Yarrowia lipolytica: one gene and its partner. The protein of the gene in region 1 purifies or fractionates together with the protein of each later gene. This does not show direct contact. Links are inferred from orthologs where the notes say so. Each region holds a gene or a part of one and is shown on either strand. Other genes may lie near its edges. The genes, in order: YALI1_F08635g and YALI1_C30795g.

What was found.
Region 2: the proteins of YALI1_F08635g (region 1) and YALI1_C30795g purify together in Saccharomyces cerevisiae (affinity purification with mass spectrometry; 3 studies listed by BioGRID). This does not show direct contact. The link is inferred for Yarrowia lipolytica from reciprocal best matches to the Saccharomyces cerevisiae genes RPS15 and RIO1.

The regions. Positions count from the first base shown.
Region 1 is NC_090775.1:857,585-873,475, forward strand, and holds YALI1_F08635g (uncharacterized protein), read right to left. Parts: upstream 6,330-15,891; coding exon 6,284-6,329; intron 6,002-6,283; coding exon 5,586-6,001; downstream 1-5,585. Other genes in the region: YALI1_F08585g (uncharacterized protein), read right to left, coding at 129-1,004; YALI1_F08590g (uncharacterized protein), read right to left, coding at 1,245-1,430, 1,511-1,663; YALI1_F08597g (uncharacterized protein), read right to left, coding at 1,816-2,118, 2,185-2,415; YALI1_F08603g (uncharacterized protein), read left to right, coding at 2,808-2,817, 2,889-3,178; YALI1_F08650g (uncharacterized protein), read left to right, coding at 7,477-7,719; YALI1_F08683g (uncharacterized protein), read right to left, coding at 9,029-10,765; YALI1_F08705g (uncharacterized protein), read left to right, coding at 12,933-14,117; YALI1_F08745g (uncharacterized protein), read right to left, coding at 14,773-15,891. UniProt on the Saccharomyces cerevisiae protein: Component of the ribosome, a large ribonucleoprotein complex responsible for the synthesis of proteins in the cell.
Region 2 is NC_090772.1:3,069,524-3,087,037, forward strand, and holds YALI1_C30795g (uncharacterized protein), read right to left. Parts: upstream 10,029-17,514; coding exon 8,136-10,028; downstream 1-8,135. Other genes in the region: YALI1_C30706g (uncharacterized protein), read left to right, coding at 1,134-2,837; YALI1_C30726g (uncharacterized protein), read left to right, coding at 3,090-3,256, 3,354-3,438, 3,521-3,646; YALI1_C30749g (uncharacterized protein), read right to left, coding at 3,734-5,380; YALI1_C30760g (uncharacterized protein), read left to right, coding at 6,478-7,011; YALI1_C30859g (uncharacterized protein), read left to right, coding at 16,392-17,015; YALI1_C30884g (uncharacterized protein), read right to left, coding at 17,284-17,514. UniProt on the Saccharomyces cerevisiae protein: Required for the final endonucleolytic cleavage at site D converting 20S pre-rRNA into the mature 18S rRNA. Required for the final steps of cytoplasmic maturation of the 40S ribosomal subunit.

The DNA of each region.
Region 1 (15,891 bases):
GAGTTGTCAGCGACCCTCGGTACTCCTACAGCCTTCGTTTCATGATCGTGAATAATATTAAAAGGTATAAAAACTAGAAATAAGAAGTGAAAGTCGGGTCCAGACCCTAGAACATGTTAGCAGACTGCTTACTCGTCGTGGCAGTCGCACTCCTTGGTGGTGACAACCAGGGTGGTGGGAGGCAGAGAGGTGGTAGACTCGGGGCAGGGCTCCTCGATGGTGTCGGTGACGGTAACTCGCTCCTGAGAAGCAGGAGCGGAAGAGGTGGGAGCAGCAGAAGAAGTGGGAGCAGCAGAAGAAGTGGGAGCCTCGGTAGAAGAGGGAGCCTCAGTGGAAGAAGGAGCAGCAGAAGAAGGAGCAGCAGAAGAAGAAGCAGGCTCGGAGGTAGAAGCGGGAGCCTCAGAAGTAGAGGGAGCCTCGGTTGAAGAAGCGGGGGCGGAAGAAGAAGGCTCAGCAGCAGGAGCAGGGGTGGTGGAAGGAGCAGGAGAGACAGTCTCGGTGACCCAGACAGTGGACTCGTGGCCATCGGCGTCAGAGATGATCAGACCCATGGTAAAGAAGGGAGCCTGGATAGTCAGGTCCATGCCCTCAGCGGCCTCCTGGATCTCGTTGATCTCCTCGGGGGTGAACTCACGCTTTCGGTTGGGGTAAGCCACGCCCTGCTTCTCCTCCCAGATTCGGTGCAGCCACTCGGAGATGGTCTCGTTCTTGGTGCCGATGCCAAAGTCGGACAGGTCGGGGATCCACAGACCCATGGTGAAGAAGGGGGCCTGGATGGTGAGGTCCAGAGCCTCCTCGGCCTTCTCAGCGTCGGGGGCAGGGGTGGTCTGGGCAGCAAGGTGGTCATGGATGGCATCGTAAGCGGCAGACAGAACGGCAGAGGTGGCCTGCTCGCCGGCAGTGGCGTCGGGAATGGAGATGACCTGGGTGGTCTCGGCCCAGTCAAGAGTGATGAGCTCAGCAGCAGCCACAGCAGCAGTAAGGAGAACAGTAGAGAACTTCATTGTGGTGGGTAGAAAGGTGCGTGAAGAGTGTGACTGAGGACTTGTCTGGTGAGAATACCGGGACGGAGGTGACCCTTATATAACTCCAGAAACTCGAGATATTCCTTCACAACCACCTCTGTCGAACGTCTAGAGCTAGAATAACCTAATACAGCGTACCTTGCCGATCGCCTTCCGTCTAGAAGCAGCTAAAAAGTGCATAAAAATGGATTAGGAATAGCTCCGGCGATCTGAGGCGGCCTAGTCCGGGTACAGGCAACCACGGTGGTACCCTGAGGTCAGCTTCACGAAGGTATGCTGTGTGAAATGTGGTGTATTGTGTTGTGGTATCATTGTGAGGTATCCAAAGACAAGTTCAGGTAGTTGACAGGTACCTGCCAGTACAATAACAGTTCCACGGTGGGTTTTGGCTGGCAGTTGGCCAAACTAAGTTGAGCGTCGGGATCTTCGGTAATAAATGTCGATGAAAAAGAAAAGTAGCCGTGGAGAGCCAATTGTTAGCCCACTTTGCACGTGGAGGGAGGGCTTTGGCGATATACGGAGTGGCAAACAGAGACCATTGTTCTGGCAGAGGCCATTGTTCCGGTAGAGACCATGGTTCTGACGCTGAGTAAGGCCATATGTAAAAACAAACAAAAAACAAGCGATCCGAAGTGCATTGGAATTAGTTCAACGCCCGACTAACGTTTGCGACCAATTGCACCGTTCAATCCAATAGACCTTTCCATCTGTCCACTTTGCGTTTCTTTTTATCAGTGGCCAAATCGATGCGGGTACGTACCCGTCAGTGGTGCAGTGCTTGTAGCTGTGGTTATGGAGACGCATGAGGGCGGGACAAGCACCTGGCAAGCACCTGAAATGAAGATACTTTCATATACATCCCACACTCATGCTCTCGTGAACTGGAACAGTTATGTTTTGTAGGCTGCCGGGGACAGCCGTTCATTGAAAGGACCGCCACAATCGCTCCGACTAGGACGAGACCAGGCGCCGTTCTCTGCAGCTCCCTCTGCCAAAGCGATTGTTCGTCGACGGGTGAACAGCTGATTGGCGTCTTTCGGCGAGCTACTCCAGTGCAGATCTCCCTACAGTACTGTAGGTACTCCAGAGCCCACTTCGGTCACATGCAAGCTTCACCGGCGTGTGAGACGCCCGTACCCCTTGATCAGCTGCATCTAACGACTTGATTGGCGGTACAAGTGGAGTGGTGCTGAGTCTGAGGTGTTTGTGTCTGTAGATGCTGCGGTACCTGCTTCTGTGTCGGCACTGTTCGGTACCTGCTTGTATGTGTCAGTTGCTTTGTTGGTTGCTTTGTCAGTTGGGTTGAGTGTGAGTCAGTTGGTTGTGTTTGTGTCGAGTCTGTTTGCGTCGAGTCTGTTTGCGTCGAGTGTTTGCGTCTTTGGTCTCTCATGGCCGCTCTTTGGCCGCTCTTTGGCCGCTCTTTGGCCGCTCTTTGGCCGCCTGCTGTCGATTGCTAGCTCGTTGACCGGCACGAGCCATTAAGGCTCAGCGTATCCTTCAGAGGTTGATTTTATTTTCACTTTATGGGATTTACGGTTAACTACAGTGCAATTACGGGTAACTCTGTTTAGTTGGAGTTGCAAGTACTGTAGATATGGCTCAGATTGAAGGTGACCGTCAGCCGAACGGGGCCAAAACGCTTTAAAAGGGCGCTGAAAGGGAGCTTAAAGTGATAAAAACATACTTCCACAACCTCAAAAAACCTCCGCCCCCTCTCCAACCACTTTTACTGCTCTCCACAGCTTTGGCCACCCCCCTCAAAACCACATCCCCCCATTATCTATGCACCAAAGTTAGCTCGACGACGATCCGGCTGCTGCAGCTGAAAGTTGTGTCTTGCAAAAAGTAATAAATCACTCGCAGACAAGGAACAGACTATTCCAGTGTACGCACACACCACAGGAACCAGGCACAAGGGCCCCAGTCCAGGAACCAGGCACAATCTGGAGGTGGAGGAAGTGCATGCCAAGGCCAAAGTTGAGGATAGCGTGATTCACAGTGAGCTGTTGGAGGGTTGCGAGGTTCTCATCACGAGCGCGCCTACTCGCCTACTCGCCTACTCGCCTACTCGTCTACTCGCCTACTCGTCTACTCGTCTACTCATCTACTCATCTACTCGTCTCGTCTACTCGCCTACTCGTCTACTGTACTAAACACCGTCTACTTGGGTATCCAAACATGATCTCTCCATCCAAAAAGCTCTCCTCCAAGCACTAACGGGTTCTAGTTTTCACGATCCAGAGAAAGAAAAAGAAAAGACCGAGGACCATGTGGTTATTGATTTCTGCACCCGGCCCAAAAGGGCAGGGAAGATACCATACGGAGCCAAACTGAGGTCTATCGGCACAACGGGCCGCTGGAACCGTCTTAGATGGAGCAACCGTGGGGTGAGCCATTTGTGAGCGTTCAACAGTGGTGAGCAATGTTTTGATCAGGCCATGGAATATGTGCTTGCCATGACCGCTCACTCTTGTACGTGTACTCGTACGGGTTGTCCTCCACTGTAAGATTGCAGTAATGGCAGTGTGCAAAGTGCAAACTCAAGCATCTGGCTATCACAGTGCTGGGACGGTCCATCAACGCCAATCAGCCGTCTATCATGACTCGAGTGCCAATCCACGGCCAATCAACACAGCTGACTACTTCGGAGCCCGTCTTTTAGGGCAATCGGCGGCCAAGCAACATTAGGGTGTCTTCGGTACGAGTACGAGTCGGAGTATCGTGCAAGTAGTGTTTGGTATGGCTGTAAATATTGTAGCTTTCGAAGCGAGACTCGGCCTTTCAACTGAGACCCATTTGTTTTGGGAAAAAGTAATGAGCAGCTAGCGCAGAGACCGTGTGGAAACGGAGGCGAAGGACAGCCAATGTACAACTACGGTAGCTGAGACTGGGGCGAATTGTTAATTCGGTTTTATATTTAATCAAAATATGGGACTTTAAATTCCATTGAAAGAACTATAGCAAGACATTAGAGCGTTCAGCTGTGGCTGTAGTTCAAGTTTAGTAATACCAGGGAATCTGAAAGAAGTAGCGAAAACAGGGTCCATTCCGAGACCAAAGCTGAGGTAACTACTATTCATATACAGTACATACTGACTATCAACTCCATTTAGGCGGTTCTCCTTAATGGACGTCTTCTGACTCTAGATAGTTTTAATGAGTAACCATGAACATGAACCGAATGAGTACGTACAATCAAAACAGGTGTGAGCACTTTTTCGCACTGCATTTCAAAAGACAACTCAAGATTGACCTTTTACTCATCGAACCGAGCTATATTATGGAGTTCCGACCACTATAAAATGTGTATGGGGTGGCCTGGGTCGGACCGCTAGACACCAACTCGTCTACAGAATTCCGACATCTGACTGTAACTCGAGACATTACCAATCTCTGAATCGCCAGTATCCACATTACCAGACTTCAACCCATCGACCAAGACAACCGAAATACTGTGAGAAATACTGGAAACCAAAACCTGTTGCCGATCCAAGTACGATCTAATTATCTAGATACCGTAGGTAGATAGCAATGAAGAGACGTTGTTTGTAGTAGTATGGCAGCTCTACGACTGTCACTCTGCGACTCTCTAAGACTTCTTCTCCACGACGTCCCCTTTACAATATCCTCTCTCACCTGCGTACATTCGTCTCTTGGAATTTGCCAGACATCTATGATCGAGGGCTGGGCATGTTAGGAGGCAACAGCTATATTGATTTGGAGGCAATCTGCGTGAAATTGATGAGCCGGCGTCGAAAGATCTACAACACGTACAGTACGTAAGCATGGAAATGGCAAGAAGGCTCATCCGGACAAGCGAGAGCCCACTCTCGTCACGGGAAGTGAAAGCCGGAGGATGGAGATGCTTTAAGGAGTATATTGACGAAGAAGACAAGTGATTCCCAAGGTCCGTACCAGTCTTGACACAGTCAATTTGAGAGCCATTGTCTTGAACGAGATGGACTCATTCAGTCCACCCACAAGTTGATACCGCTATGTACTTGGATACTGTACTTGTAGACACTCTCCTCTAGGGTGCCACTGAATCGACCAAATTGCTGACAAATAAAGTCTTCAAGTGTGTATATATATTCCAAGGAGTCAAGTGGTTGGCTGGAAGGACTGGAGAATCTCACTTGTCAGTTTGCGAGTTTCCAGGTGGATGGTGAATTTGATATTTTATCCGGCCCAAGTGGGACTATACTTTCAATAAAATGAAAAAAATAAATGAAAGAAATAAAATAAATAAAGTGAAAAGAAATAAAAAGAAATAAAAATAGAATAAAACACTCAGCTAGATACGAATACAAAAGGCCCAACCGAGAGATCAGCTGGTACATCAAAACTACAAGTACAAGTACAAGTACAAGAACGACCCACTCGAGCTTTGCTCTCGTGTCAGCCAATACATTTACAATAAGCCCACACTCCGAGAGCACTTGAAACACCTTCGAGCTTTGCTCTCAAGGCTCTCAAGGCTCTCAGGGCTCTGAGGCTCTCAGTTCACAGTGTTCGCGTATGTCAATCATACAATACATATTTTTATTACCATGCAATCCCTTATCGCAGAGGAATGAACTTGGAGTTGGAGACACCGGGTCGGCCGTGTCGGGTGGGGGTGTAGGTGATGGAGAACTCACCGAGGTACATGCCGATCATCTCGGGCTTGATCTCAACGGTGGTGAAGGACTTTCCGTTGTAGACACCAACAACAGAGCCAATCATCTCGGGGAAGATGAGCATGTTTCGCAGGTGGGTCTTGACCACGGCGGGCTTCTCGTTGGGGCCGGCGGCGAGCTTGGCCTTTCGCAGCTTGTTGATGAGAATGGTAGGCTTCTTGTTGAGGCCTCGGTTGAACCGTCTTCGGGCTCGGGCGGAAACGAGCTCCTTGAACTCGTCGGTGGAGATCTCGAGCAGATCCTTGAGGTCAACGCCTCGGTAGGAGAACTTCTTGAAGGTTCGAGCCTTTCGGGATTCTGTGTTAGTTGGAACAGGGGAATTGGGCGTAAGCGTGTCATTTCAGATCATGTGGATCACAGAGGTCATATTGCGAGTGACATAGCTATGTCGTGTATCACAGAGGTCGTATCGCGGCTGAGATTCCTCATGCCACGTCGCGGATGACAATTATCATGCCACATCATCACACAGCTCCCGTTGCAGGTGACACCGCCCATACGGAGCCACGCCGTGGGCCACGCCGTGCAATCCTCCCTGTCATGCCACCGCAATGTCTCTGGGCGCCGTGTCGCACCAACCGTAATTCGACATGTCCTCCATACGCCGGTCTCGTTTATCGTCCATACGTACCAGCAGAAGCGTCAGCCATTTTTGTCGTTTGATGTGAGTAGGAAAAGACTTATTCAAAGTGTTGATAATCTTTTCGGTTGGGAGGAGTGAGTGGTTCCGTTTTGGAACTCCCAACACGTGATTCAGTTAGGGTTAGTAGGGTTGTGCACGGGAGAGGCGTGGTTTCCACTTCGGGACACCAAGCCACTCAAAAAGCTTATTTTCTGTCCGACCCACTCTTTTTTCAAAACCACATCTTTGAGATTTTTCCTTCACAAGAAATAGTCTGCTTCCAACAGCTTAAATTTGATTATTTACAAGTGAGTACGGCAGCCAGAGAGGTCTGGCGACGACGACAACCACGACAGCAACGACAAATTGGCGACGATTCTTACCTCGTGGTACTGTCATTGCAAACAGGATCGAAGACCGGTGGTGAAGTTCGATTTATTGTTTAACGACTGTTTGACGATTGATTGAGAAATGTTCCACAACTGTTCTGACTGTTCCAAGACTGTTTAATGACTGTTGGACTGTTCCAAGACTCATCTCGTTCACCTCGATCACCTCCTCCATACTAACCACAGTGAAGTACCTCGCCGCTTACCTCCTGCTTAACGCCGCTGGCAACACCTCTCCCTCCGCTGCCGACATCGAGAAGGTCATCTCTTCCGTCGGTATCGAGGTTGACTCCGAGCGAGTCGCCGCCCTTCTCAAGGACCTTGAGGGCAAGTCTGTTGACGAGCTCGTTGCCGAGGGTACCGAGAAGCTCGCTTCCGTTCCTTCCGGAGGTGCCGCCCCCGCTGCTGCTGGTGGTGCCGCCGCCGGCTCTTCCGACGCTCCCGCCGCCGAGGAGAAGGAGGAGGAGAAGGAGGAGTCCGACGACGACATGGGCTTCGGTCTGTTCGACTAAACGCTCTAGAATCTTGTCAGAGTCCAAAAATAAAAATGTACATCTTATGTTCTATTGGTTGTATGAGTGTGTATGATGCGATCGTGTTGTGTAGGTCAATGTATTTATTTTTTTAAATAATTCCATGATTTTTGGAATACCAAACCGAAGTTAGAAAAAATATAAAGTGAATTCATTGGATTCGATTTCCCGTCAATTTCAATCATTTCCCATCCTTTTTCAACTACTCGTACAAGTACTTGGGGGTCAATGTCATCCAGTTTGGTGCCATTTGTTCAAATTCAAATTCAACTTTTTCACCTTTCCAGCATATTCCAATCTATTCAATTAATTCAATTCCCATCAAGACATAGCAATCAGAAAACGAGCATGTACATACTCTACGTACCGTACATAGCATACTCGCAATACTCTGACTGTGTTGGACTTTTCGAGACACCCGAACGTCCACTAATCCTTGAACCTGATCACTCGGTCTACCGATCTCACTAATGACCTACAACTGCTCCACTATCCACTGCTGTCCATTGTGGAGTCATTGGTAGAGGACAGAGCGAATGGCCAACTACGATACCAACCGTACCGCACCGCACAGTACCTATTCACTAGATGCGGGACAAATAACTGGTGGTCAGTTTGCGACTGTCCGAGTGATGAGATCAATCATTATAGTACATACAGTACAGTACATACATGCTTTGATCAACTACTGGCGACCGATGTGGCAGAATATAGGTTTCTGACACAGTTCTACCCTCACAATCGTCTCCAATCCCACTGACTCACCAATTCTTTCCGTCGATTTGGAACCGCTTTTCAACTCGAACGGTGTCTGGAGCTCTCTCAGTCTCGCCTGTTCGGTTGTTGAAATTCCAGTGCTGGAACTGATCACGAGGATGCGTACTCGTTGATCGAATGGACCTCCGCAGCTGACCACACGTCCAACATGCCACCATTGGATGTGAATGGTGGATCCCTTTGAGTGAATCACCTTCCAGCCTTGAGTGAATGTCTCAATCCCACCAACCATCCGGTTGGAGAGAGTCCTAAAGAGTTGCTCACACTCTCTTGAGGAGTGGGTAGAGAACAGGGCCAAACCCATCTACTCAAGCGGATTTACCATTATGAATGGGAACAAGACTTTTCCGCTCAGAAAGACTCACAGAAAGACTCACAGAAAGACCCACAGAAAGATGAGAAGTAGCCTTGAGTCAGCTCATTGGGTATACTAAGCCATCAAATGAAGGAACTGTTCTCAGCCCAGTCACAAGTCCATGGAGTCCACGGCCGGTCTACGAGACGGTCAACTTCCAACACAGTGCGAGTTTTGATACTCTCGTCGACATCAATCAGCAATAGAAGCCCTTTTCCTGGTGAACTCGTCTTCTGAGAACGTACATACCGAACCTGTATTACCGCCGTATGTACTGTCTAGTGATAGCTGTATGCGTCGTTGCGCTGCTAGAATGACCGCTGAAAAGCATCTGGCTAACCAACAAAAACAGTACAGTACTCCAATCAGGTCAGTCATCTTTCGAAAGCACTTGCTGGTCCTCGAGTCAAGTATGTACACTGGTCTTCACAAACGGGTCCTGACAAGTACAGACTCTCCAGCTGATCTAGTCAAACTTGGCGGAAATTGTACTGGCGCCTTGACTGTCTCGACTGTAGCTGTTCTACCAGGAAAGGGCTTTCAGCGATTAGAACCGTCCCTGGGCCGGCTCTCAAATCGGGGACACCTTCATCCATCCATTACAACCCTACATACACATCGTTACTATTCATATATTTGCTGATCAACCTACAACTTGTCAGGATCGACTCTGCCGGAGTTGACGACATTCTGCTTAAAGGCTAGATTGTCGTCCAGCTTGTGCTCGGCCTTGTTGCCGATATGGGAGGGCTGTAGATCGTGGGTTCGCTGCTGCTTCTGGGAGGTGGTGGACGCGGCGGGAATCGGGTTCTCGGAGTAGGTGGGCACAACTGATCCGCCCTCAACCGCCTCCTTCTTGGTCTCGAGCACGCCGTCCAGAGTCCGTTCGGCCTTGCTGCTGAGATGAGAAGGCTGCAGATCGTGGGTGATGGGCTCCTTGTGGGAGGTGGACGCGGCAGGGATCGTGGCGCTGGTGAACTCCTTCTTTTCGTCTTGTTGGAAGGGGTTCAAAGAAGCGCCAGAGGTGCCAGAAGAACGAGTACCATGCTTGGAGGTGGAATTGGCCAATGGCTGGGAAGGAACGGCTCGAGAATGACCATGGGAATCGACAGGAGACACCTTGCCGTCCTCAATAATATCGTGCTTTCGCTCGACAGCAGAGTTCAACTTATCGTAGGCCTTGTTGCTAAGATGCGAGGGCTGCAGATCATGTTGTCTAGGCTGGTTCTGGGAAGTGGTGGAGGCTGCGGGGATGGGGTTTTCCGCATAAGTGGGCACCACAGAACCTCCCGAAACAGCCTCCTTCTTGGTTTCCAGAGTATGCTCCAGTTTGTTCTCGGCAGCATGGCTCAGATGAGAGGGCCGCAGGTCATGGGTGACGCGCTCCTTGTGGGAGGTGGAAGCTGCCGGAATGGTGGCGGTGGTGTACTCGTCCTTCTCGTCATTCTGGAACTTGCTCAAGGGAGGAGCATGGGAGGTCTGAGAAGAAGTCACATCTCGAGAAGGAACGGCTCGTGACTGACCCGTGGCATCAATGGGATCGACCAGACCGTTGTCCACCGCCTGCTGTTTCACGTCCAGCACGTTTTCAATCTTGTCGGCCTGCTTGTGGGTCAGATGAGAGGGAAGCAGATCGTGGGTGACGGGCTGATTCTGGGAGGTGGTGGAAGCGGCAGGAATGGTGGCAGAGGTGAATTCGGCCTTCTCGTCCCGTTGGATTGACTCCAGAGTAGGCGGAGCATTGTGGGCCAAACCACTCTTGTCCACGTGACCCTGTCCGTAGGCATCCTGGGGGTCCACCAGGCCGCCCTGAACAGCCTCGTGTTTGGCCTCGAGAGTGTCTTCCAACTTGGTAGCATCTCGGTTGGAGAGATGTGACGGCTTGAGATCGTGGTCAGCGTGCTTGGAGGTCTTGTTGTGGTGGCCAGAAACAAGTCCCTGGGGCACAGACGAGTCTGTGGCTGCAATCGGATCCACCAGACCTCCCGCTACCGCCTCTCGCTTGGTCTCCAGAGTCTCGTCCAGCTTATGGGCAGCCTTGGGGTCCAGATGCGACGGTTTAAGATCATGGGTGACCTTTTCGTCGGCTGCTCCGGGGAAAGCTCCGGGAATGTTCTGGGTGTGATTGTCCAGGTCGCCCTCGGCAAAAATGAGCACGTTGTTGAGATTCCCCTGGGGATCTTTCTCGGTGGGAACGCCGTCATCGACCTTCCAGACTCCGTCCACGTAGAACTTGTACACCGTCTTCTCCTTGGGCAACTTGACGGTTTTGGCAAACCCCTTGGGGGTCTTGTCCAGCTTGACGGACTTGGACCAGTTGTCAAAGGTGCCAGAAACAACCACCTCCGAGCCGCCATACGGCCATTCAAAAGTGTACTCGACCATGTTGATTGATTTGATTGATGTAATAGAGTGAATTGAAGAAGACGTTCTCTCTCTCTCTCTCTATCACTCACTTGCGGTCTCACTCCAGGACAAGTAGCAATACCCTCTTGCCCATAAGCTCGGATTGATATGCCAGATAGCAATGTTCAAACAAGGGTTAAACGCGGGTCATATGGGTCGAAAAAGGACTCATTGGGGTCTACTTCTCCGTGCAAACACAAATAACCAACTCGCGTGTCTTCATCCTTCTTACTTGGCCAATTGACAACGGTTCTCTGTCCCACAGCAAGATTCAGGCGGTATCGATATGCCGCATGATGCAGGAAGGCCTAGCACCAGTATGCGATGAGGTCAATGGTGTACAATTGGCGATGAGGCATCTGAAGGCCGAGATGAGTCTGAAGGCGTAGATGTTGATTTGACAGACAGAACAAAGCTTTCATTTCTGCCAAGTTGGTTAATTTCAAAATTTCGAATAAAATCACAATAAATACCAATATTGGTTTTCGAAACTTCCTGTGAATTTAAACGTTTTTTTTTTAAAAAATAACCCAACTGGCCCGATATAGCGGTTGTGAGTGATATCTCTGTGTTTGCAGTTGTCATTTAGGCCTTGACAAAATTCACCAAAGAGCAAGTGCTACAAATACGTGTACTATCGTATCGTTCTTTACCCACACTCTTACCTTCTCATAAGTCACGTGCTGTTGGAGAAGAACACGTGACATCAACAAATACCAGCCCCTCCATCCTTCGTGCCATCACGTGACCAGACACCTTCCGTGCCAACTTTCTTGTCGTGTTCCAGAAGAATGTGGCAATGTGGGAAAAGTATGACGTCACCTGAACAGGGTGTTTGGGTGTTTGGTGATGTCTCGACGTCTGGGGCGCTCTGTTTGTGTTACTAGATCTGTGGTCTTTTTGCAACGTTTTTGTCCCCTCCCTCGGACCCCAATGGATTCTCCACTTGTAGTATTCACTCTACTCTACCATATCGCCATCTCTTGCCCCTAATATGGTATGTCTTGAATTGATAATGCACTGAAGGAGGTCGGAGAAGCGTCTTCTGAGACGATATCTGTACGACAAAAGGAGGATATTATTACATCATTCGACTCAAAAATCAGCGCTGGTTTGAATGGTATCATAATATCCACCTCTTATAGTACAAAAATGTTGCGTTAGTTGTAGATTTTTGCGTCCTTTTTTTTTTTTTTTTTTCTTCTTTTCTTCGATCTGGAAGAAGATGCGTTCGTAAAAAATAGTGCAGGGCTAAAGTGGCTATCAGCGGTTATAGGCCGGAGGGTGACTGGTACGATACGAGTACGAGTACAAGTACAAGTACGTGCCCATACCAGGCCCTAGACCAAAATATGTGGGCTAGTATGCTGACAAATCACGCAATAAGCCGTCTTTGTCGCCCCATATTCGCCAATATGCCCCATTGCACAATGGTTGCCCCGGATGTCTGGCCCTCGTTAAACTTGGTTCGTTGTTGGTCAGCTTTGTCCGCCAAGTCCGCGTCACCGAAACCGAGCCGGCCAAAAGACACACGGCATACAGCAGACACTTTTCTAGGGGGAAGGGACAAGGAGGAGGGGGAAGGGACAAGCAGGAGTATATATGCGGTGGGGATGGTCACATGACATGCGACACAAACCACAGACTCACCACACCATGCCACGCCACGCCACGCCACACAAACACACACACACACACACACACAGAGGTAACACACACAAACACAGTCGCACTGTGGCTTGCGCAAAGTTCAACGGTTCGATTCCTAGAATCGTCCATTCTGTGGTCGACACGAGACGCATTGAAAGACGGTCTAAAAGATCTAAAAGACTGGGATTTCGGGTGGAATTGCCGCGGGCATGTCGGGAGACTTTTGGATCACGTGATATGGCGCCATTTTTTGTGTTACGCCGCGTCCACTGTACGAGGTACATTCGAAGCACACGGAAGGAGGTGCAACAAACAACCAACCAACCAACCAAAAAAAAAAAAAAACCAAACCAAACTATAATTTTTTCGAACTCTGCCGCATACATATAACCACAGCGAGCCAGTGTAACCATCGTCTCTTTCTCTTCTCTTTCTCTTTCTCCTCAACAACCCCCCTTTTCTCCCTCTCACCCTTTCACACAAACACAAGCACAAAATGTCTGGATTCGGAACTCTCGCAGTGCACGCTGGTGCCCCCCACGACAAGACCACCGGAGCTGTCATCCCCGCCATCTCTCTGTCCACCACCTTTGCCCAGAGCGCCGCCGCTAAGCCCGTGGGCGAGTACGAGTACTCGCGATCGGCCAACCCCAACCGTGACGGCTTCGAGCAGGCCATTGCTGCTCTGGAGAAGGGCAAGTACGGCCTGGCGTTCTCGTCTGGCTCTGCTGCCACAGCCACCATTCTGCAGTCTCTGGCTCAGGGCTCCCACGTGGTGTCCATTGGCGACGTGTACGGAGGCACTCACCGATACTTCTCCAAGGTGGCCAATGCTCACGGAGTCGAAACCACCTTCTCCAACGCCGTGGAGGACGAGCTGGCCTCTCTGATCCGGCCCGAGACCCGTCTGGTCTGGATCGAGTCTCCTTCCAACCCCACCCTCACCGTCACCGACATTGCCAAGGTCGCCGGCATCGTCAAGCAGGCCAACGAGGGCCGATCCGCCGACGAGCAGGTCTTCCTGGTTGTCGACAACACCTTCATGTCTCCTTACGTCCAGAACCCCCTGACTCTGGGCGCTGACATTGTGGTCCACTCTGTCACCAAGTACATCAACGGCCACTCCGACGTGGTCATGGGTGTTGCTGCCACCAACTCCGACGCCATCCACGAGAAGCTGCGGTTCCTGCAGAACGCCATTGGTGCTGTTCCCTCTCCCTTCGACTCGTGGCTCGCCCACCGAGGTGTCAAGACTCTCCACATCCGAGTCGGAACCGCCTCCAACAACGCCCAGGCCATTGCCGAGTTCCTGGAGAAGTCTCCTCTCGTCGAGGCCGTCAACTACCCTGGCCTCGAGTCCAACCCCCGACGAGAGGTTGTAAAGCGACAGCACCGAAACGGTCTTGGCGGAGGCATGATCTCCTTCCGAATCAAGGGAGGAGCCGAGTCTGCCAACAAGTTCTGCCAGAACACCAAGATCTTCACTCTGGCCGAGTCTCTGGGAGGCATTGAGTCTCTGTGCGAGGTCCCCGCCGCCATGACCCACGCCGGCATCGACGTCAAGGCCCGAGAGGCCTCCGGTGTCTTTGACAACCTCGTCCGACTGTCTGTTGGAATCGAGGACAAGGAGGATCTGCTCAAGGATGTTGAGCAGGCTCTTCAGTCTGCCGCTTCTCAGTAAGCGACTGGTGCTAACCCATCCCCACTCTGTTTTCAACACTATAGAGTGTGTAATATAGACTAGAATGTGATATTTATAACATGTGAGCGGAGCGAGCAATGATGGCAACTGTACCGGTACACGAACTTGTAGAATTGTCGTATCGTATCCAGACGAATGTCTCCTTTCACAGGATGGATGTAGGCCAGATATGTAGGAAACCTATGAGTGCTGTGAACCTGCTATGAACCAATTGGTGAATCGTACGCCGAGTCTGGAGATCACAGTGGTATAATGATATCGAAGTATTGTCTTACTAATATGCTGAGGTATCGCTGATATGGTGCATCTCGAGATGTTAGTATAAATGCTATACGCTACAAGTACCGGTACTCGTACGGTATTCGTACTGGTGGCTCTCGCTTCAGTACAGCTTGCTGCCATATAATACACCATATATTACAATAAATTATGAGTCTGCCGTCTAACTGTAGAAACGACTGTAGCACTGTTGCTGTGAGTATGAGACATGGTCTTGAACCACTCTTGAACCACTCTTGAACCACTCCTGAACCACATTAGTATGCCTTTCTTAGCATTGATTGGAACATCGCGACAGTAAGATCAAATGAGATCTCTTGTGCGCTGTAGCTAGTAGCAATTGGGCGACGCCTCGTCACTCGTGCTCCTCCTCCCTCTTCTGATACATATACGGCGGTGGCAACACCTGCCCATACATCTGAGGATGTCCGTACATGGTCTGCGGCGGAGGCAGAAGATTGCCACCCTGGTAATACGGCACAGCAGGGTACTGGTACCCTCCGTATATTGGCGGTCCCTGATGGTACATGGGATGCTGCATCATGAGAGGCGCGCCTAGTGGCAGAGGCATGTGTTGCTGCTCGTGTCCGTTGAGTCTGTGTTGACCCATGGGAGGCGGCGTGGGCTGATGCTGATGCTGCTGCTGCTGCTGCTGCTGTGGAGGTGGTGGGGGAGGTTGGTGCTGTTGCTGTGGAGTCTGCTGGTGAACCTGCTGCTGGGCAGTCTGTGGAGGCGGAGGCTGTTGCTGTGGCACCTGTTGAAGAGGCGCAGGTTGCACACCCATAGGTTGCATGATTCCCGGAGGCACGGGGAAGGCTGCATGAGGAACAGGAGGCCGCTGGAGCCCCAGAGCCGTCAGATCCTCGTTGGTCTCGTCCTCCGTTGCCTGAGAAATCACAGGCGCAGCAGGGAAACCAACGTACTTGGATATTCCAGACAAGAGCGAAATCTCGTTCACCTGAGCGTTCCGCTGATGAATCTGCTCGCTCTTGCTTTCAGGGATAGTGTAGCCGTAGTCGGGAACCATGAGATCCATGGCCCGTCTCTCCCGGTTGACTCTATACCACTCTTCGGTCGTCTTGAGCAACAAGCCGCTTCGGGCGTCACCCTGATCCTTGAGAAACTGCTGGTGAATCTGCACACGCGACGCACGTGTCTGGTTGTTGATGCACTGCAGCTTGTATTTGCGACGCGTCTTGGCCAGTTTGATCTTGTCGTCACGCATCTTGGAGATCTGCTCGTAGACCGCATGCAGCTCGGGATGTGTGCCCTTGACACAGAGCCCCATTTCCACCTCAAACGCCGCCAGCTTCTCCTTGAACATAAAGTCGCGGAGCTTGGCGAAATCGACCTCGATCTCGGCGAGAGACGTCATGGCCGCAGGCCGCATGTCGACCTTGTCTGCGTCTGCGGGAGAGTCTTCCTTGTCATTGTCGTCGCCTTCGCCTTCCTCGTCGCCCTCGTCTTCCACCTC
Region 2 (17,514 bases), on another chromosome or scaffold:
ATCACTAACGATTACGATTCTGATGACGAGTTCAACCACTCTGTTACAAGTCCGGGGTATCAAAACCGATTCGTGCCAGGTCGATTGGGATGCTTGGAACGACTTGAACGGCTGATATCGGAAGCCTGGAGACTAATGAAGAGGTTAGAAGAGATAAATATCATGAGTTGATTGACGACATCGAGATGCGAATGTTGGCTGGGTGTCTATTCTGCTTGGCCTTGGTCAGAGATGCTCTGCAGCAATTGTTTGGCTATGGAGAAGGGACAGAAGTTGAAAATCGAATTGAATTGACAATGGTCTGCTTGCTAATCAAGTTATCATTCCATTGCCATGTCCCTGTGACCAAGGGCTTATGGATCTTGTCTGCAGTTCTGGTTTCGTAGTAATCCAGCTGGTAATATTAGAAGAAAAAAAATTGGGCAGAAATTGATGGGGGAGAAGCCTGACAAGTTCATCATCATTCAAGGAGCCTCTTCTAGGCGTCATTGCAACTCGGGAATTGTTTGCGCTCCTGTTTGCGCTCCTGTTTGCGCTCCTGTTGATTAGTACTTGTATCACATCACATTGACACTATGATTAGTCAGCACGAGTGTCAGGATAGTTGCTGGAAATCGGACTATAAAAATAATTATTTTTTTTTATCAAAAATAACTATAAAACCTTTTAAAAATGGAATATAAATATAAATAACAAATCAATGTTGAAATACTCCAAATATCAACATAAAAAAATAATATTTCTACGTTCATTATTGTTGTTATTATTATTAAAATATTGTTGTTAAATTCAACTCAATTTAACCGCCAACTTAACCGCCCAAATTAACCTTTGGAGATGCCGCACCTGGGCAGACTAACAGCAAGCGTATATATTTGGGGAAACAAAAGGTCCATATGAATGGCCGATAAAGACAGAAATTGGACAAAGCAAAGCCGAGAATAGGGTCACGTGGCCTCCAGAATGCCGTAGATGTTTTTCAATTTCCCCTCTAGGTCACGTGAACCCCGTTTCGAGGCCCATCCCATTTCTCCTCTCTGGTCCGTATCCGAACTTTATCCATCTATCAGGCGGCAAGTCCAACATTTACGCATCATCATCTCCGCTCTGCACTCTTCTTTTACACAAACACCATGGGACAAGGCACTTCAGCTCCGCAACATCTGTCGGAGGACCAAGTGAGTCAGCTGTTTGCACAGCAATGCTACAAGACGCTGGAACCAATTGAGCTGTATGGGCTGAAGGACAACTTCAAGGCGACGGTATTACACCAAGACCACGGCGACCACGTGCGCATGACCGACGAGGAGTTTGCGGCTCTGCTGGGGATTCCGTCCGAGTTCAAGTCGGTCGAAAAGCTGCTCACCAACTCGGCCAAGTTCCTCGCCAACTTTCCGTTCATGGACACGAAGCCTCGAGAGGCGGGGTACTCGTTCAACGACCTGCTCAAGATCATCGTCTTCTACTCGGGCCGATACACGCAGGTGTTCAAGGAGTTTGATCCGCTCAAGCTGCTGTTTGTGTCGCTGCTGAAGCAGTGCGACGTGGCCAAGGAGGTGACTCTGTCGGAGGAGCCCAATCTGGAGTTTGACGGCGACTGGAAGTCGTTTGGGCCGGTCAAGCAGTTCTACGCCACCGACGTCAGCGAGCTAAAGTTCCCCCGCGACGAGTTCGTCGACTTTCTCACCTTCATGCTCGTCCTCTACGGCTTCGATCCGTCCAAGGGAACCGTCGCAAAACACATCAAGACGGTCGTGAGCCAGGACAAGACAGACACAAAGACGCTGTATGCCGATTGTCGAAAGTCCGCCCAGTGCATCTCCCGAGCATGTAATGGCGACATTGATCTTGTTCAATTCAGACATGCCTTTGACAAGGTGTGTCCCCATCTACTGGCTCCGGTAGGTCATCTTTTCGACCTGCTTCTCTACACATCGGCTCACTCGGAGAAGGAAGATAACGAACCAGTTGCTCCGCTCAATCCTCTGGGTTCCAACAGCACCTATCCAACCAAGCTGCTGAACCATGCCACGGTGGCCCAAATGGCGTCTTTCTGCCCCTTCCTCGGCAACGTGGAAAACCTGAAGACGTTGTACATGGGCCAGAAGGATGGTTTTGCACAGCGGTCTTTTGAATCCGGAACTTTTGGCTGGAGAGCCCCTTCGGTGCTGCTAGTGTCTGGATTGCGGCTCAACACAAACAACCAGTCTCTTAAACGAGCAAATACCTTTGATGAAAAGTACCCTCGGCTCAAGGGAGCTGTTGTTCCCGATGATGGTGAGAGCGAGGTGAAATTCGGATTCTATCTCGACGTTCCCTGGAGATCGTCTTCAAAGGAGACGTTTGGATCTTCCAAATGTTTTATTTTCCAGCTAGCCCCCACGCAGGATATTTTTGTGGGTGAAACCAACCCGTCCAACCACGCTTACTTTCTCAAGCACGACCCTGGAGGACTGGCCTTTGGTTCTCCTATCCCCAAGTCCATTGGTCGGTTCACCGGAGTGCAGGCACCTCAAGTGGTAGGAACCGTGTCTCTCACGCTAGACGATTCCCTGGAGTTTGGCAAGTTCCACCATGCTGGCAAGGGCGGCTCGTACGCGCCTTCCATCAATCGACCTGGAGAGCTGATGGACGAACGGTTCAAGGTGCGAAATGTGGAGGTGTGGGGTGTTGGAAACGACACGGACCTCGAGCACCAACGAAAGCGAATCGAGTGGGAGGAGCGAGAAGCAAGTTACAGACGGACCATCAACAAAAACAACATTGCAGAAGATCGAGCGTTTCTGGAGATGGCTGGTGTTATTGGCGGAGCAAACCGGTCTGGTGGGTCCATGTAGGGTGTGAGGTGGGCAGGTTAAGGCGTCTACTGGAGCTGGATGTTTCAACGCTTCATATAGCCATGGTATATGTGAGTTGATTTGCAGATTGAAAGTTGAGGTTCCCTCTACAGTTGTGGGTAGGGTCGACGTGAAGAGAAGGGCACTTTTAGGGGCCATTGCGACTTTTGATTGTCTGAAATATACGGCAACTGTTGTTCTATACTTTTGATTCAAAGACACTCCTTTCGGATACAACTGGTGTTTGTTGAGATGTTTGGGCTCGGGTTATGTCAGAAGTTCAACGTTTTTGTATATTGGCTTAGTCATAAGACGAGGAAGGAGAGGAGTTGTGGCGGGGTTGTATTGCTGAGTACGATGACGATGATGTCGACATGGTGTGTGAGGTGGATATTCGTGGATATTCGTCGTGTTTGGTAGTTAAACCGTCTTCAGGGGTTTACTTACTCTTTAGTTAGTATTTAGTTGGGACTAGTTGGGGACCAGCACGCCAGCAGGTTGACCAAAACAGCTGAGTGAAGTTGTCCCTCAGTATGAAGACAACTTTCGATACCTATTCCAAAGGCTTTTTGATACGTGCTATGTTTGTTCAGTTGACGATGTCTTGATACCAGCTCTGACAAGACACTTATGCTAACAGTACAGTAAATACTTGTACAAGTAGTTGACACTGACGACTACAGCGAACAGATTTCACCAGTCCTGAAGACTTGTCAAGTTTCCTTGAGTCTTCAGGAGGAGTGGAGTCGTCGGTAGAGTCTTCAGAGGCGGTGGGGTCGTCGGTGGAGTCTTCAGAGGTGGTGGGGTAGTCAGTCGAGTGTACATCGACGTTCGAATCAGTCTACCTAGACAATCCACCGTTAGTCAAGCAATTGACCTTGATGTACCGTCACTCCCTAATAACTATAGAAAATACTAGGATGAAGTTCTCCGGCCAACTGCTGTTTCTCCTTGGGCCACGATCGGAACTTTTGACGGTACTTTTCCGTTCGCTTGTACCTGTTGTCAGCCCAGATGGCGGCAAAATAGACCGCGAGGAGCACGGTGGAAAAGGCGGTAAAGGCCAGACACACGTCGAGCGCGGTTGGATAGGTGGGCGCCTCGTTTGCCTCGAAGATAAACGTCGAAATGAACCCCGCCGTGTTTCCGAAACCAATCTGCCAGCCCGACGCAATGGCCTTTCGGTGGTGTCCCGAGAAGTTCATTTGAGTCCAGCACACCAGAATTGGCATGGCCGTGTATGTTCCTGCGCATATCATGAACAGCGAGCCGTATCGGATGCCGATATGTTTTGTTTGTCCCATGAGAAGTCCAAATCCCGCCACCGCGACGATTCCCGCAAAGAAGGCAAACGCAAACCGGTGTCGAAAGTGGTCGGAAAACGCCGCCGACACCATGGAGAAGCCAAATCCCGCCACCCAGGGCGGCACCGAGTACAGTTGGGTCATGACCGGCGAGTATCCCAAACCCTTGACGATGGCGGTGCCAAAGTAGGCGTATCCATAGGCCGGAACAATGTATCCAAAGTACAGGAGTCCGGAGATCCAGACCTTCCAGTCGGAGAAGACAAACGCCAGGTCTTTGCGAGTCATGGAACGTTCGTATTCCGACACTCCGGCGTTTCCAATCTCCAGTTTCTCCTTGATGAAGTCCCGTTCGTTCTGTTTGAGAAACCGCGCCTCCTCGGGGAAGTCCGCCAGGCAAAAAATCATGAGAATTCCAATGGTAGCTGTGCACGCTCCTTCGATGATAAAGATCCATTGCCACGATCGAATGCCTCTGTCGTGGTCCAGGTTGTGGATACCAGCGGCAATGAGGCCACCGAACGCTCCGGCCAGGGTGGTGGACGAGAAGAAGAAGGAGTATCGTTTCTGGGCCTCCTCTCGGCGATACCACATGGACAGCAGGTAGAAGCAGCCCGGAAACATGCCTGCTTCGAACAGCCCGAGCAGAAATCGGGTGGCCAGCAGTTGTCCGTAGGTTCGAACAAACCCCTGACCCAGGAGACAGACTCCAAACAGAGTCATACACCCCGTCAACCAGACATGGGGCTTGAACTTCTTCATGAGCCAATTGGAAGGAATCTCGGCAATGACGTAGGGCACAAAGAAGATGGCCAGAGCGGTGTTGAACTTGTTGCCGGTCATATTCAGATCCTCGGACATGCCATAAACATTGGCATTGGAAACGTTGACTCGGTCCAGAAACGCCAGGACATAGAGTAGACAAGTCAGGGGAACGACGCAGATGTCGATTTTCAACATGAGTTTGCGATGGTTGACGTTATGTTTGATGGCCAGTTGTTTGATTCTGTCGTTGATTTCCTCTTGCGACGGCGGAGGGGGGAATTCGTCCATCTGGGGAATTATCTGGGGATCCACCTGGAGATCCATCTGGTTGATCTCTTCAACCTGAGGGCTGAACTGAGGAGAGTCACTGGACCCTGTCTCATGGCCGAGCTCCGCCTTTTCTTCGCGGTTGGTCTCGATTTGCGTCATCTCTGGCAAAGGAGGCGTTTGCTGGTCCACTTGCCATGCGAACATCTGCTGGCCAACTCTTTATAGCTGGATCGACCGTCTTCAGGTTGAGGGGTAGGTCTAGACCCGAGGGGTAGTGGGGTGGGTGGGGGATGGAGGGGGACATAAAGTCCGGATGTAGAGACACATGGGGAACATGGAGGAAGTCGGAGAGTTGATAGAGGCCAAGTAAACCCGGTTTAAAGGGTGATTTGCAACTGTTGGCAGCTTTTGAAGTTCCGTTTTCCCTGTCCAAGGCTCCCAACATGTCTCCACCTCTCACCCCACATCATCCGTGCTAAATGCTAGTCTGGTTTGAACAAGTGCTATCATAACAAATCTGCGGCTATCGAGGTATTCTAGCATGCACCAATGAGTGGTATTGTCGGCGTGCCATTGGTAGGTCGATGGATAAGGAGAGAGACGGAGACAGATGGGCTGCGGAGAGTGGATGGAGACAGATGGACGACGGGGAGTATAGGAGAGGGCTTGTGGGAAAAACCAAAGGACTAGCCCAATTGTCGATTTCTGAGCGGCCAAAATTACTCTACATTCGAGCATACTAAGGAGTCTTGGAATTGGCGTCGGAATTGGCGTCGGAATTGGCGTCGGAATTGACGTCAGGATAACGGGTTTCTGTTTTGCTCTGAAGTCAGACGTACAAGATAGTTGAACTGTTACTGCTGAAATCCAGTTGTCGACAAGTTCTTTATCACCATGGTCGATTCATTAACCATCCTCCAACTGATCGCTAACAGCGATAAGGGATGTTTGAAGGGGCTTCGTCATCCAGGGCCCATTCTCATATTCCCACCCGCCCGCAGATTTACTTAGCTTTACTTAGCTTTAGTTGACACCTACCAAGACCGCCAGTTCAAACCTCGCCAAACCCCTGGGGGGCACACGCTTCAAAAGTGTGTATCTTTGACATCTGGAACAGCCGAAACAGCCCCCTTGTCTAAAGAGCTCACCCAGCACGGATTGCGGCCCACGAATCCACCTTGTCAACCCTACATCTATACATTTGCCGAAGTTGCTATAATCTGTGACAACTCTGATAAGATCCCCAGATCGGTGTTTGAAACTGGTCTGACCGGTGCAAATATGGCGGGAAAACGGAAAAAATGCGTCCAGGAGACTCGCCACAGACACGAGATGTCTTCAAACCACCCCCTAACTTTCCATCTCGAGGAAAACCCATTTTATCGTCCCGTTTCTTCTCTTCCTTGGAACTCTACCTCCGATTAGCCTTGCAGAAGGGGCTATTATTTCGTCTTGAATTTCTCGCCAAAGTGGAGTCTATTATTATGCCCAGCAGCAGTGCTTGGAAGCTCCACTGTCTGGGCCCGGTCATGGAGCCCTCGGCTCCGTCTTCCGCTGCCCTCTCGGACTGTGACGACCGCAAACCACTCTACCGCTGCCTGCAATCGTCATTTCAGGCCGCTCGAAGCGTTCTGGATAGTCGTGGTCCAGAGGGCGACTCTACTTTCAAGTACTCCGAAAGGAGCTCATGCGATTCAAAGAAGCTCTGGGCATTGACGAACCACATCTCTGGTAAACGTGTGTCATTACCAATGTCTCTGATATGCTCCTCCAATAGGGCGGCTTGTGTGAGATCCTGCACATCAAACACGTTTACCCACTTCAAACGTCTCTAGCACAGCGTGGGTGGCGTTATCTGTGGTGTCTCGTGACGACTATTCGCGACTAGATGCGCGTGACATCCTCCAGAGTCCGATCAAGACAATGAGAACCCGAGGTCAATATCTCCTGATATGACCCTAAAATTGAATGTTCCTATGTTTGCGCGTGGCACTCGTGCTCCTGGCGTTTTGGGCACTTTTTTAAGTAATACCCGCCAATTCCCCACATGATCATGAGAGGAACCAGCTGGTTGTAAAGAAGTTGTTCCTGTAGATGGTGTATCTGATGATTTATCTGATGGTGTATCCGGTGGCGTGTCTGGTGGTATATCTGCTCATCTAGAATCTCTCTCTGGTGAATGAGTAAGCACTCTTCTAGCGCGTGCTACGTGGGGAAGTGAGTTGTAAGTGGTTATGTTGACTATATCGAAACAATCGTACTTTTCTCATTTTTTGTAACATATACTATATAAAACAAATACGATAAAATAAAGAATAGTATAAAATAAATGAATACTGTAAAATAAAAAAAATACTATAAAATAAAAAAATACTATAAAATAAAAAAAATACAAAAAAAATAGAAAAAAAAATATGTTTTTGCATACTAGAGACTTTTTGCTTCTCCTCGAACCAGTCGCCTTTGGTGGTATATTCCAGTAGATGGTTTGCCCGCTTATATAACCAAAGTGCAAAAATCGGATAGATATATTCATATAATTTTTATGTTTTTGGTAGTACTATTTTTTTTTTGCATCAAACAACATTTTTCTCAGATAGTCCAAGTAATTTTGTTGATTGGTTAAGTATTTGTACAGTAATTGTACAGTATTGAAATGAGTTCCCATCATTTGGACCAAGTGAGAACGGATTGAAAATAACACTGTATCATCACGTGAAGAGGTCGTGAAAACTTCTTAAGAAGGCTGAAACTAACGTCTACCGGGCAGAGTTTCTCTTTTCGTCTATCATTTCTGGATTTTAACAATACATAATCTATAGGTTGGGTACTGGGTGTAGGAGTAAAGTACAGTCAACAGATCCAGCATGTTCAGACTCAAGAAGGCGCCGGTATCGAATTGCCGTCGACAAGGTCGTTGCACATCTCCAGCGACAACTCGTCACCACTACAACGCCAATTAATGTTTACCCTTGGACTTGGAAATCAGCTTCTTCTTGGTGGCCTTCTTCATCTTCTCCTTGCGCTTCTCCTTCTGAGCCTCCTTGACTGCCGCCTTTCGCTCCTTTTTAGCATCCTTGTCTTCAAACTTCTTGCCCAGTTTCGAGGTCAGGGCCTTTTTCTCCTGGAACCGCCGTTCGCGCTCCTCCGAGTCAATCGACGAAATGCTCTCGTTGTCAGACTCGCTTTCCGAGCCCATCTCTTGGTCTTCTTCCTCGTCCTTCTTGCCAATGAGCGACGAGTAGATGAGATCCTTGCCCTGGCCGGCATTGACCATTTCCACGTCTCGCTCGACGTCATAGACCTGGTCGAGGTTCTGGGGAATGTAGACCGACCGGAACACGGCGTCATCGGCCTCTATTTGGTCCGTGGACTCTTCAATGGGCATCGCTTGGATATATGCGGTGAGCGAGTCGACTGTTTCCTCCATTCGTTTTTTCGCCTCTGCAGGGCCAGACATGGTAGCAGAAGTGTCACAGACAGTAGTGGAGTCATCGATTACGGAAACTTTGTCATCCTTGTGTTCATCCTTGTCTTCGCCCTTGTCTTCACTCTTATCATCTTCAGCCTTATCGTCACTCTTGTCTCCAGTCGTTTTGTCGCCCTTTTCACCATCCTTTTCATCCACCTCCACCAACTCCCGGGAACTAACGGAGATCTCGTCGGTGATTTTGATGTCTTCCAGAAACGGGCTGGTAATGAGATGGAAGAGTGTTCTCTCGGGAAACACGCTGACTCCATGTTTCCGGAAATAATCATTGCAATTCTTGATATCCATTCTCAGAAACTCCAGAGAATGAGGATGATCGTGTTCAACCGACTGCGAAACGTCGATAATGTACAACTTGCGCTCATGGTACAGAATGTTGTACTCAGACAAATCGGCGTGGACTAGCCGACACTTCTGATACATGATTCGCATGTACGCACACAACTGATGATACAGAGCAGTGTATTCCTCGGCAGGGTTGGCAAAGAGCTCGGAGATTTTGGCATCTCGCAACCGGGGACTGGGCCATCCCTTTTTGTCGCCCAGAAACCCCATCACCAGAACATGAAGATGTAAATGAAGAGGTTCCGGACACGGGATTCCGGCGGTATGCAATCTCTTGAGGTTTCGGATTTCCTTTTCAGCCCATACCTTGACCATTTTGCGCGGATTGTGGCGCGAATAGCCATGTCTGAACCGGTATTCTCCACTCACATATCGATCTCGGTCCTTGAACACCAGAATTGACGTCTTGTAGATCTTGATGGCACGATGAACGCCCTCCTCGGTGCACGCATGGTACACGTTGGCTTCTTTGCCGGTGGAAACGCACCCGTTGACCTCGAAAATAATTCCTCGGTTGATCATTTTGAACAGAATCATTCGGGTCCGGGGATCCAGAACCTGCTCATTAGTGGCTCGATCAGCCCGGTCTTTGGTGGCGGTCCCCATGAGAGCAGAATTGCCACCTGTCTGAGATCCACCTCCAGACGACTTTTTCTTGCCCTTCACCTGCCCATCACGTGCAGCAAGCCCCTGATGAGTCAGTGAATCAAGATAGTCGTCGTCCATACGTAATCGGCCCGTGTACTTGCTGAGGTCGCTGTCAGCGGTCTGTTGTGCCGGTTTTTCGCCTAAAACGCTTGCAACCACCTTCTTCTGCTTGTTGTACCGCTTAGTCACATTTCCCGAGGTGATTTCCTCTTCGTAGTCGTCCTCCACGATTTCGTCTTCCTCCTCTTCGTCCTCGTCAATAAGGTCCTCATAATCGACAGTGACCCCGTCAAGCTCCTTGTAATCGGGATCTGTCGAGGGCAGCAGTGTCGAAGATGCTCCGCTCGAAATTTCGCGTTCCCAGTCCATGTTGTTGTCCTTCTAGATGCGTTGGTGTGCACAGAAAATAAGTGATGTAGAATTTTTTAAAAAAAAGAGGTTATGCACGATCAAAGGTTATTTGGGGAATTAATAAATGTAATTTGAATTTCAATATAGGAAAAAATCGGAAAATCAGAAAAATTGTCACATGGAACGGTAAACATGTCAAGTGAGGTATATAGATGAGTGGGGGTATCACTTGATCTAAAAATCATTGGGGCTGGAGATATTGTCTAGATATACTTCCATTTTTTTCTAGATGTGGCGATACATTAATCAAAGAATAGTTGGGGAATTCGATTTTAAATAATACTTAAAATTAAAAGAAATACAAATTGTGAGGAATGGATGATGATTCAGAAAATTCAACAACCCAACCCAACCATCAATGTATATGTAAGAGTGTCAGTTGTTTAGCAATTTTCAATATTCTGGAATTTTCAGCTCCAGAGTTCTCAGATGTATCAGTTCTCTTTCAGTAATTAAGAAAAAAAAAAAGAAAAAAAAACAAACCTCTTTTAAAATTATAAGATTTTCCAATCGACATTTATATTTTATTTATTAGGAGATTCACGATACATCTGTGAGCATTTTTCTACGCAAGAATCTGAATAAAATCTGTCGAAAATTCAACACTTGCGAGCCTACCTGCGTTTGCAAGAATCACCCTCGACTCAGTTTTTATGTGTTTTTTTTCCCCTACTTTTTTCTTCTTCATTTTCTAATTGTGCTTTTATTCGGAGAAAACTACTCTACAAATACAGTACTTCTCAACGGAAAATCAATTGAATAAATCAGTGGGCTTAGCACTTGCAAGCTCCCTCGCACTTGCAGGTCTCACACTTGCAATCGGGGTTCTTCTCGCACTCGCAAGCCTTGGTGCACTGGCAAGACTCGCACTTGCAAGGTCCGCAGGAGCACGACTTGGTGTCGCAGGCACAGTTGGTGCAGGGCTTGGTGCAGTGGCAGTTGGTAGAGCAGGCCATTTTGGTAGTTGGTGAGATTGTTCGGGTGGATTAAAAAAAAACGTCCGGCGGAGTTTTTCTTGAGCGACTGGTTAGATGGGTCTGGTGGTGATTGAGTCTCGGGTAATTGAGTCTCTGTCGATGATTGTCTGTGAAGATGTCAAAAGGACCATACCACCGCCCTATATATACTTGTAGGGATTATCGCTGCTCGGGTTGCCGTCATATGATTTCTTGTATTGCACTTTTGCATTCTGTCATTTTGGGTTTCTTTATCGTTTTCTTGATTGAATTAAACTTTTCAGACCAATGGCAAAATAGTCTCAAAAATAATAAAAAAATCGCCCAAAAAGAACCGACCCCAAAATGTCCGGATTCCGCCCAAAAAAAACCATTCGAACGCCCAGCAAAGAGGCAAAAATCACGTGACTCCAACGGTACCGCGAACGCCCTGTTTCCCTTCGGTTTCGCAGCCTAAAAACCGACAAAACCGCTTTCCCCTTTGCGCGCCGCCGCCCCACAATCAGAGTTCAGCAACAAAATCAAACGTGGCTAATACGACGATACAAAAAGATGATAAAATCTAATCGAAATCTCGAATCGGCCACAAAAACACAGCCAGAAATCAGATTAAGACCAAACAAACACCAAAAAATACTGCCGATTTTTGCCTCCAAAATGACCCCAAAAACAAGACAATTCAAACAACCACAAACACATCATAATCCCACTTCCTTCAACTTTGCCAGCAAACAAAACCTACTCCATTCTCCACATTCCTAGTCAAAAAAAGGACACCCAAAAGTTTGGTGGCAACGCCAAGAATTCTGGGCAGAGTCCTTTTCGCCATTGGATCACTCCAACCAATGGCGAAAAGGGCTCTGAGTTAGTCAACCGTAGATGAGTAAGCCGTGGAGTAGTAAGCCATACATTACTAAACCATACTTTACTAAGCCATAACCCATACTTTACAAGCCATAAATCAATAAGCCCTGGTGTTGCCACCGCAATTCCCGAACCACGATAACGCTTTCACATGCACCGCCTCCTGCAGTTGCCTCTAAACAGCACAATTCAGCTCTTGCCTGATATCAACAGGTTAGGGTATAGGGTAAGGGTATCGCAATCAACGTATCGCATTCTGGAATCCGAATCGACAGCAGGTATCGCATCTGCATCTGGGATATCAAAGAAATCACTGCGAAGGTCAGGTGGATGGGGCATGAGCGGTAACGGGCAAATGAAGTTTCCTTTTTTTACGCCACAGGTTATGACCAACAAAGGTTATGACCAAGGAAAACGCCTCCTGTATGCACGTTGATGCATGGGCGGCTGTCAGGTTATGAGTTGGGCAGTCGACAGGTTATGACCAACTTCCAAAGGTAGACAGGTTATGACCGACAGCCCTGCCCTGGCGGGCCACAGGTTATGACCAACTTCCAAAGGTAGACAGGTTATGACCGACACAGCCCTGCCCTGGCGGGCCAACAGGTTATGACCCAAACTCCCAAAGGTAGGACAGGTTATTGACCGACAGCCCTGCCCTGGCGGGCCCACAGGGTTATGACTTTGCAACCCCTTCAGGCCCACACAGTTTATGAACTTCCGCCCCCCCCCCCCCCCCAATCGACATTGGGAAAATGGCGAACGGCGAACGGCGAATATGTTGCAAGCATAACGGTGTATCAAAAGAATCGAGCGAATGGTACCAAATTGCTGAATAATGAGTATTTCCAATAATCAGTACAAGGAACCAACCTCTTATATGGCATAAGTGGTTCATTAAGAGTGGTTGGTTTAAGGTTTCGAATTGGGGACCTTGGAGGTTGCTGCACCTTTGATAGGGAGCAAGTTGAGGATATTCGTGGAGGCTTGGGGGTCACGTGCAGTCACGTGACCACATGAGATATGTTAGTTAAATGGTAATGGGTGCTCATTTTTGTGGTGTAATTTGTCTGTTTGATTTTGCGCTCTTTTTGATTTATTTATTTATTTTGATTTATTTTAGTTGTTAAAAGAAAATTAGGTTGTTTTTGTGGCTTGGATTTGAGGTTTTTACGAGATTTTGGGTTTGGAGATGAAAAAAGTGGAAGGTGAGATAAATCCAGATTATTTATTACGGGGATGTGGTTGGGGCAGGTTATGACCAGACTTTAGTGCGTTGAATTGAGTCTATCAAGGGATGAAAATTGAACAATACTAATACTACAATTGTGTGCCTCTGCGAATACACTGATATTTTAATTTTGCAATATAGAGAAAATTAACAGAAATATGTCTTTAGGTGTAATATGGGTTTGACGATACACTCCATTTGCTGTCGTGGTAAATTATGTTACCGAATACAACTTAGTCTGAAACTGTCCGGCAATGAAGAGGTTTAGTAAGACCAAACTTGATGGAGTTTATTAAGCAGTCCATGCATTGATTTGTAAACATTGGGGAACGTTCATTCACTTTTTGGAAACAGATGATTGTTCATAAGTCATAAGCAGCATATGAAGGGTAGATTGAGAGATTCAATAAAAAAGCTTTGGAAAAGTCCGATAGGAGCTCAAATTGTACATGTTACAGCTGTGGAGCATTCTCCTCGAGTCCCAAAAAGATTTTGGAAATTTTTCTGTCATTTGTTTATTTTTATTCATATTTTCGGTCAATAAAATCGTGTTGTAAGCATTTACAGTATTTAGTTGAGATGTCAAGTATGTAGTACTCAGAGCAAGTATCTCCAAAAACAAAACTCGAAATTCCTGTTCAAATTGGCTTACTAATGAACTGGTAAAAATGGAGACGAAAATTCATCAAAAAACCCCGTCTTAAGACCCCCCAAAACTGCACCCCCAGCGATGCGGCCTGGAAATGAATTAGAGTTGGTCACGTGAAGAAGTTTCCAATCCAGGCGCGGACCATGGAGGCCTGGTCAATTCGATGAGGAGTGGAGATATAGAGGAATTGATATTATCATTAGATTCTGGACGTCGGTTTATTTATTTCGGGATGTTTTTTCGATTGTTTTTGGTGTTTCTAAAAGGCAGATAGACTGGCTCTATCAAGTGTGTTTTATGATGACAGTGTGACTATTTTGCTGCTTTAGTCACTACAAGTTTCCGCAGTTTGGAGCAGATAGGCGGTATCTCTAGTATCTCCAGTGCATGATCCATACTATTCAGTTTATTACTATCGTGCTATAGCCATATGTTGTATTTTAATAGCTCTGGGGACTGGGTAGGGCTGTCAATTCACTGTTTAATAGTTACTCGCAATTATTCTTTCGATTTTCATTTTTTTCTATTTATTCTACGCAATTGAAGTCTTTGTTTGATTTAATCTGAAGTGTTTGAACTAATTAATCTGTAATAATCTAAATTCAACAGTTAATTCGTCTAAATATCAAAAATAATCTAAATAACAAAATAAACAAGTCAGTGTGGTCGAAAGGCGGTATATTCCGACATTTCTGTCGACTCCAAATCCTTGTCAACTTCACCATCTCACTAACTAGTTTCCAGTGGTCACCGTTAACTATTACCTCAATTCATTCACTAACTAAAGCCAACTAATCATTCACCCTTGAACTAAAGTCAACTAAAGAGATATAAAGCACTCTACAAAAGACCCCAAATGAAGAGACGAGAAAGAAAAAAAGAAAATCCTGTAGATTTCAACGTAGTTAATACGACTGAACAACTATTCAACCATTATTCGAACCCAAATGTTCATATTCAGTTCTATATATACCGTCTTATACCCTCACTTTATCCTGACTCAACCTCTTCCTCTCACTCAACCTCTCATTCTCACTCTCACTCAACCATCCCTAACCTCTCACTCTTCCTCTCACTCTTCCTCTCACTCTTCCTCGACCAACACCCGCAGCCCCCTGAGAAGGTCCCATCTGCCCGCGCTCAAGCTCAAAATCGCCTTCAACCGCCAGTATACTACGCCTTCATCTTGAAACAGATCTCGTACTGGAGAAGATGGCTGTCAGGTATTGAGGTCGAAACGACCGAGCTGGCCACTCGACAGCCACCCGACAGCCGACCGACTGCCACTCTCTGGTCAGTGCGATAGCTATCCCACTGCTCCTCAAGACTAACAACACCAGATGACGTCTCTGCTCTTGAGTCACTCGTCTGGTCAGAAACCCTGAGACAGCTATTCGCTTGAAGTGGCCATCGATAAGGTAGTCAAAAACAATGTGCAGTTGAAGCAGCGCCATCCAAGCTGATTTGGACTCCGATGCCGGAAAGGCTGCTCACAAAAGTTCCTACTAAAGAGGATTTGGAGCCTGGATGGAGGATCGTCGTAGTGGACGACAAGGACGGTTATGGGATCGAAGAAGAGCAGAAACTCGAAGGGGAGAAGGATGGTGACAGCAAGAGTGATGCCGAGGTTGAGTCCACGATAGACTACCGTACTCCAAGTTTGAGGCAGACTACCCCATTCCTCGAATGACCAACACGGTGGGGAAAGCAGCACCAAGAACCACGAAATCAAGATCCACACGTCGAGACCGGCGATACCAGGGCGCCGTTAGACGTCCTCAAGATCGGCCTAGAAAGTACCCTCTGGCTACAAAGGCCTAATTCATGTATTCATAGCATTTTCTTGGAGTTAAAGAGAGGAAGAACTCCATGACCAATTCGGCCACCCCAATGGTACCAATTCGATAATCCTAACGGTACCAAGGACCTTGCACTTCTCTCTCGTATGGCAACGTCTCCGTCTCCAGCCATCAGCTCCTCGTACTACAGGAATCAGGGGATCAGGGTAGTAGTGTGCCACAGCGAGTGGGCGTCGATGAGAAACTTCCATGGTGGGACATCACACAGCTGCAGGCCCATAGTGACCCAGAAGGTGACACGAGGTCAAATTGCACCGACCACTACGTTAACCCTCATGTTGTGTCCTGGGTCGAATTCGATGAAGGAAAGACACGAAACGCGAGCCAGGAAGAGCTTGACACAGACTGAGGCAAGAATGAGACGGGGGATTCTCTGAGGCAAGAATGAAGCCGGTATTTTCTCTGAAGTCTCGTCTGTCGGCCGAGAAGTAGTCAAGTTTCCCGGTCACGGGCCGCGGGCATGGAACATGGCGCTCCCGATCCATGAGTTCATTCCATCAGCGCAAAGCCGTTGTAGTGGGGGATGAGTGGGTCGGGTTTTCTCTGATTGAGGTACCGGAGGATCAGCCAGCGCCGGTAATGAGACATCAAGTCGTCCGAACCAAAGACTACCGACACTGATTCCTGGGAGGCTGGAGAGATAGACCGGAAATCACAGCCAACGGTGTCGGCAAGTCTGTCACTGTCAGTTATATACTGCCTACATAATGTGACTGCTACGATGACTTAAACCCTGGTCGACTAGTCCCTACTAACGGCAAGATGTTATCTTCAATCTCAGCTTTGGCGAACCCAACAGTGTTTCAACCTCTCCCGAGAGCCATTGACAGAACCAGAATGGTTAATACCACTTGGCGTTGGCGTCGGTACATTGAAGATCTCCATGTGTCGGGGCCGCCCTCGATGAGAGCGCACTCCACATGCCAGCCACCTCCTCGGTGGTGGTCAATGTCTCGGACCTTGGTATTGCGGCACTCAAACTGGGGCCATAATCGACATGAAAACAATACCGCCTTTGTTCCCGCTCTACAGCGTTTCTTCAGGGCTCCAGTAAGCAGAGACCTTTCACCAATCAGTTCTGAAGCAAATGATGTATTCGTTTTGAACTCGCAGAGGGCTATCGATCGGTGTGTTTCTCATGTCTCTTCAACCACTTTAGGGCTCAGAAATGTGACACTACCTAGCCCTCCATTTGCGACACCAGATCGAAGTCAGACCAGAGACTGGCCGCCGCTACTCGTAGATACTACAGTACTTGTAGTACATACTCTGATTGATCTAACAGAAACCTTCCTGGCGACGGTTCTACAGCTACTCACTCCTCTAATATTGTTGGATTGTGTTTTGAACTATATACAGTATTGTGGTAGTATAAATAGATGCTGATTTGGACTCTGTTATGTCCTCCTGGTCCATTTCCTTTTACTTGCCTCACATAGACCCTCTTGTCAGTGTTGTGTACTCTTGCCATTGTCAAGACTCTTACCAAATGAACGGTGACAAGACTCTGAGATGATTCAATGGTATGCGAGCCCTGACTCCATGGAACCATGGAACTAGAGTATCACAAGACCAGCCTCTATCTCTACCTATGACCGTCCCTCAAGGATGATTGCCTGGTCATACTCATGCTCTGACCCAATAACTCCATCTCCTACTCCCGCTCGGCAACACTTAAATCTCCCACGCTGGTATTTCTGATACTCATGTCGAGCAGTTTCTTTCTGCTGGGAGGCAGCCGCGGCTTCTCCTTCTTGTCCTTCTTGTCACGAGACTCCTTCACGTCCTTCTTCGGCGCAGGAGAATTCCTGCTCGGCGGCGGAGGAGGAGCTGGACTCTTGACCCGTGATATTTGCGGCATCGGAGACTTGCCTCTAGACGGAGG